Callithrix jacchus: one gene and its partners. Each later gene encodes a partner of the first gene's protein in a complex. Links are inferred from orthologs where the notes say so. Each region holds a gene or a part of one and is shown on either strand. Other genes may lie near its edges. The genes, in order: NR0B2, NR5A2 and NR5A1.

Evidence for each region.
Region 2: the proteins of NR0B2 (region 1) and NR5A2 are in contact, whole or in part, in a crystal structure (PDB 1YUC), measured with the Homo sapiens proteins. The link is inferred for Callithrix jacchus from reciprocal best matches to the Homo sapiens genes NR0B2 and NR5A2. Residues at the interface, in NP_068804.1 of Homo sapiens: Arg17, Pro18, Ala19, Ile20, Leu21, Tyr22, Leu24, Leu25, Ser26, Ser27, Ser28; in NP_995582.1 of Homo sapiens: Phe354, Val357, Arg361, Phe366, Val371, Asp372, Gln374, Met375, Leu378, Gln379, Asn529, Asn530, Leu531, Glu534, Met535.
Region 3: the proteins of NR0B2 (region 1) and NR5A1 are in contact, whole or in part, in a crystal structure (PDB 1YMT), measured with the Mus musculus proteins. The link is inferred for Callithrix jacchus from reciprocal best matches to the Homo sapiens genes NR0B2 and NR5A1. Residues at the interface, in NP_035980.1 of Mus musculus: Thr19, Ile20, Leu21, Tyr22, Leu24, Leu25, Ser26; in NP_001303616.1 of Mus musculus: Ile275, Val278, Arg282, Phe287, Val292, Gln295, Met296, Leu299, Gln300, Asn450, Leu452, Glu455, Met456.

What each region holds. Positions count from the first base shown.
Region 1 is NC_133508.1:63,565,127-63,569,493, reverse strand, and holds the start of NR0B2 (nuclear receptor subfamily 0 group B member 2), read left to right. Parts: upstream 1-1,545; 5' UTR 1,546-1,582; coding exon 1,583-2,114; intron 2,115-3,850; coding exon 3,851-4,092; 3' UTR 4,093-4,367. UniProt on the Homo sapiens protein: Transcriptional regulator that acts as a negative regulator of receptor-dependent signaling pathways. Specifically inhibits transactivation of the nuclear receptor with which it interacts.
Region 2 is NC_133520.1:27,180,590-27,184,234, forward strand, and holds part of NR5A2 (nuclear receptor subfamily 5 group A member 2), read left to right. Parts: intron 1-668; coding exon 669-916; 3' UTR 917-3,645. UniProt on the Homo sapiens protein: Orphan nuclear receptor that binds DNA as a monomer to the 5'-TCAAGGCCA-3' sequence and controls expression of target genes: regulates key biological processes, such as early embryonic development, cholesterol and bile acid synthesis pathways, as well as liver and pancreas morphogenesis.
Region 3 is NC_133502.1:173,113,673-173,117,317, reverse strand, and holds part of NR5A1 (steroidogenic factor 1), read left to right. Parts: coding exon 1-624; intron 625-3,645. UniProt on the Homo sapiens protein: Transcriptional activator. Essential for sexual differentiation and formation of the primary steroidogenic tissues. Binds to the Ad4 site found in the promoter region of steroidogenic P450 genes such as CYP11A, CYP11B and CYP21B.

The DNA of each region.
Region 1 (4,367 bases):
TGGCTGCGCAATTGGGCCAGTGGGTCCAGGGGAACAAACAAGGACTTTGGAGTCCGGCAAGATCTGGGCTTTGTCTCTTCCTGGTCGGATGACCTTGGGCAAGTCACTTAAACTCTTTTAGTCTCACAAAGTAAGAATCTAGCCTTAGGGGGAAGCTCCCAATATTAGAGTGGGAAGGACTTGACACATAATAGCTGCTCAGTGAATGGCAACCATATATATATATATATATATTTTTTTTTTTTTTTTTTTTTTTTTGAGACAGGGTCTTGCTCTGTCACCCAGGCTAGAGTGCAGTGTCATGATCTCAGTTCACTGCAGCCTCCGCCTCCCGGGTTTGAGTGATTCTTTTGCCTTAGCCTCTGGAGTAGCTGTGACTACAGGCACGAGCCTCCATGCCCAGCTAATTTTTGTATTTTTAGTAGAGACGGGATCCTGCCATGTTGGTCAGGCTGGTCTCAAACTCCTGACCTCAGGTGATCTGCCCACCCCAGCCTCTCAAAGTGCTGGGATTACAGGCATGAGCCACCATGTCCAGCCAGCTACCATCTTTAATTATAATTCTGTAAATTCTTCTCTGCAGATCTGCCCTTTCAGGAGTGGTAGGAATCAGGCCAGGTGCAGTGGCTCACGCCTGTAATCCCAGCACTTTGGGAGGCTGAGGTGGGTGGATCACCTGAGGTCGGAAGCTCCAGACCAGCCTGACCAACATGGAGAAACCCCATCTCTACTAAAAATACAAAAGATCAGCCAGGCGAGGTGGTGCATGCCTGTAATCCCAGCTACTCAGGAGGCTGAGGCAGGAGAATCGCTTGAACCCAGGAGGTGGAGGTTGCGGTGAGCCGAGATCGTGCCATTGCACTCCAGCCTGGGCAACAAGACCGAAACTCCGTCTCAAAAAAATATATAGGAGTGGTAGTAATCAGGTTGGGTATAGGGGTTCCTGCATGGGGCCCAGAACTGGAATCAGAGGAAGGGGGCCTCCTAGACTGGAAAGCGGGCAAAGTCCTCCCAGCCCCTCAGGGTCCTGGCTCCCTTCCCTGCAGCCTGCTCCTGGCCGACAACAGAAGCAGGGCCCCAAGGTTAGGCAAACAAGCTAGTGATAAGGGACTTCCAGGTTGGGCCTTGCATTCAAGGCTCACCCAGCTCTGGGGCTGGCTTCCTGGCTTAGTGAAAGCCCTGATCTTTTGTACACACAGGAGCGGCCACCAATGGGGACACCTGCTGATTGTGCACCTGGGGCCTTGGTGCCCTGGTACAGCCTGGGTTAATGACCTTGTTTATCCACTTGAGTCATCCGATAATCAGCAGCTGAGTGAGCGGCAGGTAGCCCTGTGCCCTGCACCGGCCACTTCATTGACTGAAATGATATCAGCGCCACGTGGGGTTCCCAAACCCCTCCCCCACCACTTCCCCACCAGTCCTGCCAGGGGCAGTGTCTGTGTGTTTTTTTCAATGAACATGACTTCTGGAGTCAAGGTTGTCAGGCCATTCCTCCTTTTCCACTCACTGGGAATATAAATAGCACCTACAGCACAGAACAGAGGATCAGAGAGCTGGAAGTAAGAGCAGATCCCCAACCATGAGCACCAGCCAGCCAGGGGCCTGCCCATGCCAGGGAGCTGCAAGCCGCCCAGCTATTCTCTACACACTTCTGAGCTCCAGCCTCAGGGCTGTCCCCCAGCCCCGTAGTAGCTGCCTGTGTAGGCAGCACCGGCCTGTCCAGCTATGTGCGCCTTATCGCACCTGCCGGGAGGCCTTGGATGTTCTGGCCAAGACAGTGGCCTTCCTCAGGAACCTGCCATCCTTCTGCCAGCTGCCTCCCCAGGACAAGCGGCAGCTGCTGCAGGGTGGCTGGGGCCCCCTCTTTCTGCTTGGGTTGGCCCAAGACGCTGTGACCTTTGAGGTGGCTGAGGCCCCGGTGCCCAGTATACTTAAGAAGATTCTGCTGGAGGATCCCAGCAGCAGTGGGGGCAGTGGCCAGCTGCCGGACAGACCCCAGCCCTCGCTGGCTGCCGTGCAGTGGCTTCAATGCTGTCTGGAATCCTTCTGGAGCCTGGAGCTGAGCCCCAAGGAATATGCCTGCCTAAAAGGGACCATCCTCTTCAACCCTGGTGAGCTCCCAGGCACTTCTGGGGTGGGGGACCAAGGCTGAAGCAGGGGCCAGCCAGGGAAGTAACTTTTAACTTCTAAGGATTTGATATTTGTTATCTCATTGGGTCCTCATTTCCTTCCTTCCTTCCTTCCTTCCTTCCTTCCTTCCTTCCTTCCTTCCTTCCTTCCTTCCTTCCTTCTTTCTTTTTCTGAGACAGAGTCTCACTCTGTTGCCCAGGCTGGAGTGCCGTGGCATGATCTTGGCTCACTGCAACCTCTGCCTCAGCCTCCTGAGTAGCTGGGATTTACAGGCGTCCACCACCATGCCTGGCTAATTTTTGTATTTTTTAGTTGATATGGGGTTTTGACATGTTGCTCAAGCTGGTCTTAAACTCCTGACCCCTCAGGTGATCTACCCGCCTCAGCCTCCCAAAGTGTTGGGATTACAGGTGTGAGCCACCCTACCTGGCTTGGTCCTCATTTTCATCAAATAGCCATCTCACAGAAGAGGCACAGAAAAGCTAAGTGACTAGCTGAAGGTTACACAGCCAGGTAGGGACAGACTAGGATGGCAACTCAGGTCTAGTCACTCCAGAGACTGGCCCTTGTCACTCTGCCTGAGAAACTTGCTCTAACCGTTTTTTGAGACAGAGTCTCACTCTGTTGCTCAGGCTGAAGTGCAGTGGACCAGTCTCAGCTCACCACAATCTCCACCTCCCAGGTTCAAGCAATTCTTCTGCCTCAGCCTCCCAAGTAGCTGGGATTACAGGCGTGCGCCACCAGACCCAGCTAATTTTGTATTTTTAGTAGAGACAGGGTTTCTCTATGTTGATCAGGCTGGTCTCAAACTCCCGACCTCAAGTGATTCGTCCACCTCGGTCTCCCAAAGTGCTGGGATTACAGGCGTGAGCCACCATGCCCAGCCAGAAGTCTGATTCTTAACCATTATTCCATGCTGCCTCTTCATAAATAAATGGATAACTAAAATGAAAATAAATAAATTACCTCCTCCACAGGAGGCAGTAAATCCTGCCCTGACCAGACCAGCCCCACCCCCTTCACCACCACAGTTTGGATTCTTCTCACAGGGGCCAAGTTAATTATTGCTCAAGAAGAGGCCATTCACTTGGGGATAATAGTCTAGGAGTTATCATTCAGGCCATTCTCTAAACCCCCCAGGTTAGAACTATAGCTGATTGGCCTTGTACCCATTATTGTGACCCAGTGCCAGCAGCAAGGGGAACCCTCTCCCTTACCCAGTCTCTCACTCACAAGTCAGACACCAGATAGAGACAGAAACACAGCTGAGACACAAATACAAACCACACAACTCGGACCCCCACCCCCACACACACTAAGATGTACAACTCAGGCACATGTACACGGACCCATGAAACAGACTCTCTATCTTAGAGAAGTCTGAGAGAAAGAAATAGAGAAAGAAATGATAACAAATACTTAGAAAAAGAAATGATAATGATGCTCTCTATAAAAAATACATATATATAAAATTAAAAATAAAATAATAAAAATTAAAAGACTCTCTATCCACCCACTCACAGCCCAGAAAAGCACTGCCTAGATACAGTCACTCAGCAATGTACTGCAGATCCTGACACATTCACACGACAGACCTCAAAGGCCGAGCAGAGGAGGCAGAGGGGTGTCTCTGATGGCTCAGATCTGGGGCCAGTCTTGTCCTTTGGTGGCTGGGAATAGGTTACTCACCAGTCCTCTTCTCCCTCTCTGCCCACAGATTTGCCAGGCCTCCACGCCTCCTCCCACATTGAGCACCTGCAGCAGGAGGCTCACTGGGCGCTATATGATGTCCTGGAGCCCTGGTGCCCAGCAGCCCAAGGCCGTCTGGCCCGTGTCCTCCTCATGGCCTCCACCCTCAAGTCCATTCCAACCAGCCTGCTTGAGGACCTCTTCTTTCGCCCTATCATTGGAGATGTTGACATCGCTGGCCTTCTTGGGGACATGCTTTTGCTGAGGTGACCTGCTCCAGCCCAGGCGGAGATCAGGAGGGCAGAGGCTGGTAGTGCTGATTCAGCCTGGACATCCCCAGAGGTGACCCAGTGCTCCTGGAGGGGGCAAGGCTGTATAGACAGCCAGCCACACCCCACATTGGACTTCCTTCATTTGGACACAGTGCTCCAGCTGCCTGGCAGGCTCTTGGTGGTCCCCACAGCTTCTGGGCCGAGACTCCTGTCCTTTCTTGGGATGGGAATGAAAGCTTAGGCTGCTCATTGGACCAGAAGTCCTACCAACTT
Region 2 (3,645 bases), on another chromosome or scaffold:
CACTGACCATCCTGGCTTGTGTTCTGCCTAAAGGACAAGGCTTTCATTTGATAAAGATCATTAGTCACCAAGATATATATTTTAGAGAGTTCCCAATACTGAATATTCCGTTGGCAGTCACTGGAGTGTACCAGATGGTTCATTAGCATAGGCTAGACAAGTCAAAGACTTTCAGAATCATTTAGAAAATGTCAGACCGAAACAAGAATCCTGTCACTTTTTATTAGAATTAACTACATCATACCCTGGACACAGATTTCACCTTGGGTCAGAAAAATTAATACGGAATTATATGAATTGTGTAATATACTGGGTTAAGATAAGTCTTTCTCCAGGGACTCATTTGCTGGCAATATATTAAGATCCCTCTACTTTAGGAATCCTCAAACCTTTCCTTTTGTAAGATATGAAAAGAGTTGACCTTGCTCAAAATCCATTGGTGTCTAATTGATTTGAGGTATATGCAGAATATTCAACAAGACATTCTTCTAAAGCTCTTTTGTGATCCTTTTCCCAGGAAGCTTGGTGAGTGGGGTTTACTGAATATTCAGCAGCATGTAAAGTATGCTTTATGTCAAAAGGAAAATATATCCATTAATTGAACCCATTGCTTTAGTAAACAGGAATTAAAATGCTATTGAAATGTTGCTTTCTTTTTTTTAATGCAGATGTCAAAAACCTTGAAAACTTTCAGCTGGTAGAAGGTGTCCAGGAACAAGTCAATGCCGCCCTTCTGGACTACACAATGTGCAACTACCCGCAGCAGACAGAGAAATTTGGACAGCTACTTCTCCGACTACCCGAAATCCGAGCCATCAGCATGCAGGCCGAAGAATACCTCTACTACAAGCACCTGAATGGGGATGTGCCCTATAATAACCTTCTCATTGAAATGTTGCATGCAAAAAGAGCCTAAGTTACAACCCCTAGGAGCTCTGCTTTCAAAACGAACAGAGATTGGAGGGAGTGGGGAGGGGGAAGAAGAACAGGAAGAAGAAAAGTACTCTGAACTGCTCCAAGCAACACTAATTAAAAACTTGGTTTAAAGATATTGAATTTAAAAAGGCATAATAATCAAATACTTAATAGCAAATAAATGATGTATCAGGGTATTTGTATTGCAAACTGTGAATCAAAGGCTTCACAACCCCAGAGGATTCCACATACAAGACATTGTAATGGAGTGGATTGAACTCACAGATGGATACCAACACGGTCAGAATAAAAATGGACAGAACAATTCTTGTATATTTAAACTGATCTCCGCTATGAAGAAATTTAGGAACTAATCTTATTCATTAGGCTTATACAGTGGGGGATTTGAGCTTACAGGATTCCTCCATGGTAAAGCTGAACTGAAACAATTCTCAAGAAGCATCAGCTGAACCTACGATAGCCCCTCCTCTTCCCTTGAAGGCCCCAGCACCTCTGCCCTGTGGTCACTGAATCTGTACGGGGGACCCGTGTTCAGCCACACCCAGTAGTAGCTCCACCAAATCATGAACAGCCTAATTTTGAATGTCTGTGTCTTAGACCTGCAAACAGCTAATAAGAAATTCTATTAATATGTTAGCTTGCCATTTTAAATATGTTCTGAGGTTTGTTTTGTCATGTGTTCATGGTGTTAAGAAAATGCAGGCAGTATCCCTCTTCTATCTTATATAAGTGTTAATTAATATTAAGGGAAATGACTACAAACTATTAAAGCAAATGCTCCATAGCTAAAGCAACTTAGACCTTATTTCTGCTACTGTTGCTGACATGTGACTTTGGCATTGTTGGATTTCATAAAAAAAATTCTGGCAGGAAGTCTTGTTAGGATACGTCAGTCTTTTTCATCCTCTAAGTTTGTAGTTCATTTAAAAATAAAACATTAAACATATTTTGCTGGGACGTCACATAGTTACAGTTCTAAGTACTTGGAAGCAAAATTGACGCATGTTAATCTATGCAAAGAGAAAGAAAAGGATGAGGTGATGTATTGACTCAAGGTTTATTCTTACTGCAAGTGAACAACCTCAAAACTTGGGATGGAAACGATGATTTTTACATGTGGCTGGAAAGATATTAAAGTAATTCAAATCTTCCCCACAGGGGAAAGGAAGAGAGTGATACTGACCTAAGTCATAGGCCAAAGTCCGCTGTAGAACAAATATTGGAGGACAAAGAATCACAAATTCTCCAAACGACTATTATCAGTATTATTAACATGCGATGCCACAGGTATGAAAGTCTTGCCTTATTTCACAATTCTAAAAGGTAGCTGTGCAGATGAGGATCAACATTTGTTTAAAATAAAGTATTAATACTTTAAAGTCAAATAAAATATAGTGTTTACATTCTTTAGGTCCTGAGGGGCAGGGGGATCTGTGATATAACAAAATAGCAAAAGCAGTTATTTCCTTAATGTTATTTTTCTGATTGGTAATTATTTTTAACAGTACTTAATTATTCTATGTCGTGAGACACTAAAATCAAAAATGGAAATTTCATTTAGACTTTAATTATTTTGAGATTATCGGCGGCACAATCACTTGTAGAAACTGTAAAAAATAGAAGTATCTCCTAGTCTCTTAATTTTTTCATAAATGTTTCTGGCTTTTGAATAGTGTATTTATATTGTATATCATAGTTTCAACCGTAGACAATTATGATGCTAATTTATTGTTTCTTGGTTTCACCTTTGTATAAGATATAACCAAGACTGAAGAAACCAAATATATGTGTTTACTGTAGCATGTCTTCAAGTTAGTGGAACTTAGTTCAGGGACATAGAAGAGTCTTAATGAATTAAAGTCATTCACTTGATGAAATGTCTGTAAATCTTCATAATTCTTACTGTAGTTTATTTAATATCTATTGTAAATTATGTGACTTGTATCTTCCTCTGGTTTTCAAGTAAACAACAAGGTGGAGTCTTACCTGGTTTTCCTTTCCAAGCATTGTAAGTTGTATACCAAAGATATTAGTTATTGCTTCTGTGTGTACAAAGAGGATTATTTTATTACTTTTATTAATCACCTCTAACTACTCATCCACATGAAGGGTACACGTTAGCGAAGCTGGGCGTTGACTCATGCACAGTCCCAGTCACCCGTGTTAGCTTCATGGCTCAAAGGACAATGCAACATCACCAATCAGAGCTCACACCCAAAGTGTTATAGAGAACAGCAGCATCGTCGCCCTCCCCAGCTGAAAAACAAGTTGGCTAGAAGACACGTGAAGAGCAATGGTGTTGTCAACAGTTGATGAAACAGTTCTATCATGCATGTGTAACATGGGTGGAGACAGTTATGAGATTTGACTATAACTATTTGGAAGGCCTTTAACCTTGCCAAAAACCCAAAAACATTGATTTTTATTTTATATTTTAAGAGGTGGGATCTTGACCTCACATGTTGCCCAGGCTGGCCTTGAACTCTTGGGCTCAAGCATTCCTCCCGCCTCAGCCTTCCCAATAGCTGGGACTACAGGTGCATGCCAGCATGCCTGGCCACATTGACTCTTAAAATCTATGTTTTCTTATTTTAAAGATATTTCCCACTGAAAATTAAACCTAAAAAAACGTCACAAATTGGCATGTTGTTAACCTGGTAGATTAAATCATGAGACTGGTTAGAAAGCTCGGCAGCACAGAGGGTGACA
Region 3 (3,645 bases), on another chromosome or scaffold:
GTGCGTGCTGACCGTATGCGGGGTGGCCGGAACAAGTTTGGGCCGATGTACAAGCGGGATCGGGCCCTGAAACAGCAGAAGAAGGCACAGATTCGGGCCAATGGCTTCAAGCTGGAGACGGGGCCCCCAATGGGGGTGCCCCCACCACCCCCTCCTGCGCCGGACTACGCGCTGCCTCCCAGCCTGCATGTGCCTGAGCCCAAGGGCCTGGCCTCTGGCCCCCCTGCTGGGCCGATGGGCGACTTTGGGGCCCCAGCACTGCCCATGGCCGTGCCCGGTGCCCATGGGCCACTGGCTGGCTACCTCTACCCTGCCTTTCCTGGCCGTGCCATCAAGTCTGAGTACCCAGAGCCTTACGCTAGCCCACCCCAGCCTGGGCTGCCATATGGCTACCCAGAGCCCTTCTCTGGAGGGCCCAGTGTGCCCGAGCTTATCCTGCAGCTGCTGCAGCTGGAGCCGGATGAGGACCAGGTGCGGGCTCGCATCCTGGGCTGCCTGCAGGAGCCCACCAAAGGCCGCCCTGACCAGCCGGCGGCATTCGGCCTCCTGTGCAGAATGGCTGACCAGACCTTCATCTCCATCGTGGACTGGGCACGCAGGTGCATGGTATTCAAGGAGCTGGAGGTGAGTCTCTCCTCCCGCCTGGCTGGCCTTGCATCATTGTCCTCCCGGCTGCCCAAGCCTTAGACCGACTGTCCTTCAGATGGGGCCCTCCTACCCACTGGCTTCAGGCAGTCCACCCTGGAACACTGAGGAGCATTTCTGCTCTCTCACAGCCTGGTGGGTCCTGGCTCCCTCCCGTTCCTTCTCCTTGAGCCCCTCGAGCCTCTGCTGCTTTGGTCCCTGCACCTGTCTCTTCCTACTGTCTCTCTCCCTGGCGTGCTGTCTCTCCGCTTCTCAGCGTCTCTGCAGCCCCTTCAGTCTCTGAGGTTCCCTGTTCTGAGGCTCTTTTAGTACACATTTCCCTCGTTCTCTGAGGCCCTGGGCTCCCTCAAAGGACTAGCGGAGTCCTGGGGAGACTGTCTTGTCTCCCAAGGCTTCAGCCCAGTGTTAGGAAAAGGGTCTGGCCCATCCTGTCCTCCCATTTAGGGAGGCTGCCCATCCTTGCCGCCTCCAGCGGCACACACAGATGGGACTCTTAGTGTTTTGGAGTCTGGGACATTCGTGGTTCCTTCTTCCCAGCTGAGGTGAAAGATCCTCCTGCCTCTGCAAATCTTGTTTATGCTGGATGGTGGGGTGTGTGTGTGTGGTGTGTTCAGGGAGCTAGGTGGGTAGGTTGGTGGCTTCCAGGGCCTGCCACTGATCTTCCCTGGCAAGGCAGCCTACCCCCTGGGTTGAGGTACCTGAAGCTACAAAATCAGGAAAGCGGCAGGAGAAACTGAGGCTTGACATAGGAAAGAACTTCCCGTCTTCCACCTAGTGGCTTGAAGAGCCCGAGGCCCCAGAGCTGACCCTCCAGTGCCCTGGCTCTCTGAGACCTCCCCAGAGGCCCCTCCAGCTGGCCAAGGCCTGCCCCGCCCTGGCCTGGGTTTAGGCACTCTGTAACCCAGGCTATCGGTGTTTGGCTTTCCCAGGCTGCCCCCCTGGCTGTTCTGGGGCTGGGTGTAAACAGCAGGGCCCGTTGCCCCCCCTGCTGGGGCCACTGCAGCCTTGAGCAGCATTGTCGGTGTGGCGCCACTCGGGCCTGGGCTTCCTCCAGGGGCATGAGGCCGGATGGGCTGGGGGCGCTGCCTGCCCTGGCTGGCGTGGAGGGGGATGAAGGTGGGGCGTGGGTGCTCCGAGCCCTAGCGGTGGTGTCGTGGGACTGGGGCCTGGGCTGTCGGGGAGGTGGGGATCAGTGGTGGTGGCTACTGCTCCCTCTGTGGAGGCCCCTCATGCTGAGGCCTGGGGCTGCACCATGTGTCTGTCTGTCATGGGGTGGGTTTCTCACCACTGCCCCCTCTCTGGCCTGACCTAATGGATGGGGTCAAAGGCAGGCTCTTGAACATGAGGCCATGGTGGGGATGAGGACCTCAAGTGCTAGGGATTGGTTGCCAGCTTCCCTTCAGATTCCCCATGTAGCCCCTGTGCAGCGGGGAGGAGGAGCAGGGCATTCCCGGCCTTCCAGAACCCTGGGCTCAGGGGCAGGGCACTTCCTCTGGCTGCCTTCCTAGTCTCCCGGGGATTTTCACGCAGGATGGGAAGGGCTGTTGTCCCAGCTTTGCTGAGTGTTTTTTCCTGCTTCTGGCTCCTCTGTGGTTCAAACCTTCCTGCTTCCCCTTCCCAAAGTCTGAATTGAGCCCAGGATTATAAGCGGTGGTCACCAGCCTCTGTAAAGGGGCCTTGCAGATAAGTACCAGCCCAGCCCTTAGAGTGCCTCCTGTCAGCCACGTGGAAGTTCTTTTCCACTGGTCCAGTGGGCCCTGGGCTAGTGTCTCTTTGCAAAGCCCAGAGGTGGTGAGGAGGCAAAGTGGGAGGGGTGTGTGTGACTCTGGCATCCCTTCTGGCTGATCATTCATTTCCCCACCTCCGGACAGGACACATCTTAGCAGACAGAAGAGGGGGCTCTCTGGCTCTGAGGGTGGAGCAGCCCTTGGGTTGGGCACTAGGGACATTAAATCAGCTGAACCCAGGAAGCTGGCCGCCTGGAGGAGACATCAGACATGCACCTAGTTGCCAGTGAAGGTGCCCCGGGCTCTGAGAGCCACTGAAGGAGCAGAGGGAGCCCTTGGGGGAGAGCAAACAGCTCTAACTGAGGGATTCAGAGACGAGTTCTGTGCCTTTCTGGAAAGTAGAGAAGATTCAGGATGTCCCAGGCAGTGGGCACAGCATAGACTAAGGCCCCGAAATGCGGATCAGGTCCTGGGAGTTCCCAGTGGGCCCAGGAAGTGGGATCGGAGAGGTTGGCAAGGTCAGAGCAGAGCTGGGACCAGGAGTGGGTCCTTGGGCAGAGGTTGATGGATGGCCTGCCTGGGCTGGCTGGGGCTCCAGGTTCTGGGTCAGGGAGGGGCTCCCCCAGCAGCGCCTGAGCTCGGAGCAGAGGCCCACTCAGCCCTCTGATGCTGATGGCATCTTGCTGCTCAAGAGGCATCCCGGAGTCTCAGCTGAGCTCTCAGGGGGGCCGTGAGCCCAGATATGTCTGATTCTGGGCTGCAGATGTCCTCTTGGGGTCTTCCTCTCCTAACTTCTTTCTCAGCTGGGTTGGGGGTCCCTCTGTCTCCATTTTTTCACCTCACACAATCCCAGCACGTCAGCTGACAGTGGCACAGAAGTGAATGTCAAAGACTAGAATCAGAGAGGCCTGTTGTCAAGTGCCAGCATGTCGATTACATGCTGTATGATTTGGGCAAGTGACTTCACTCTCTGGGCCTCACTTTCCTCATCTTGATAATGGGAGGAGGTGGAATAGTGTCAACCCTGTAGGGTTGCTATAAGGGGTTAGTGAGCCAGGACAGGGGAAGAACTGACCGTAGGCAGGGCAAGCTTAGGAAGTGGGGCTGCAGCACCCTTCCTATCTCTTCCCCTCTGAGCTTCACCATTTAATTGACGCCTGCAGGCTATGTCCTGACCAGGAAGACAGCAGGGAGAGAGACACTGTTCCCAAGCTCCTCTGAGCACATGATTATTCTGGGACTATATTGGGGCCACTTTGCTTATAAAGCAACT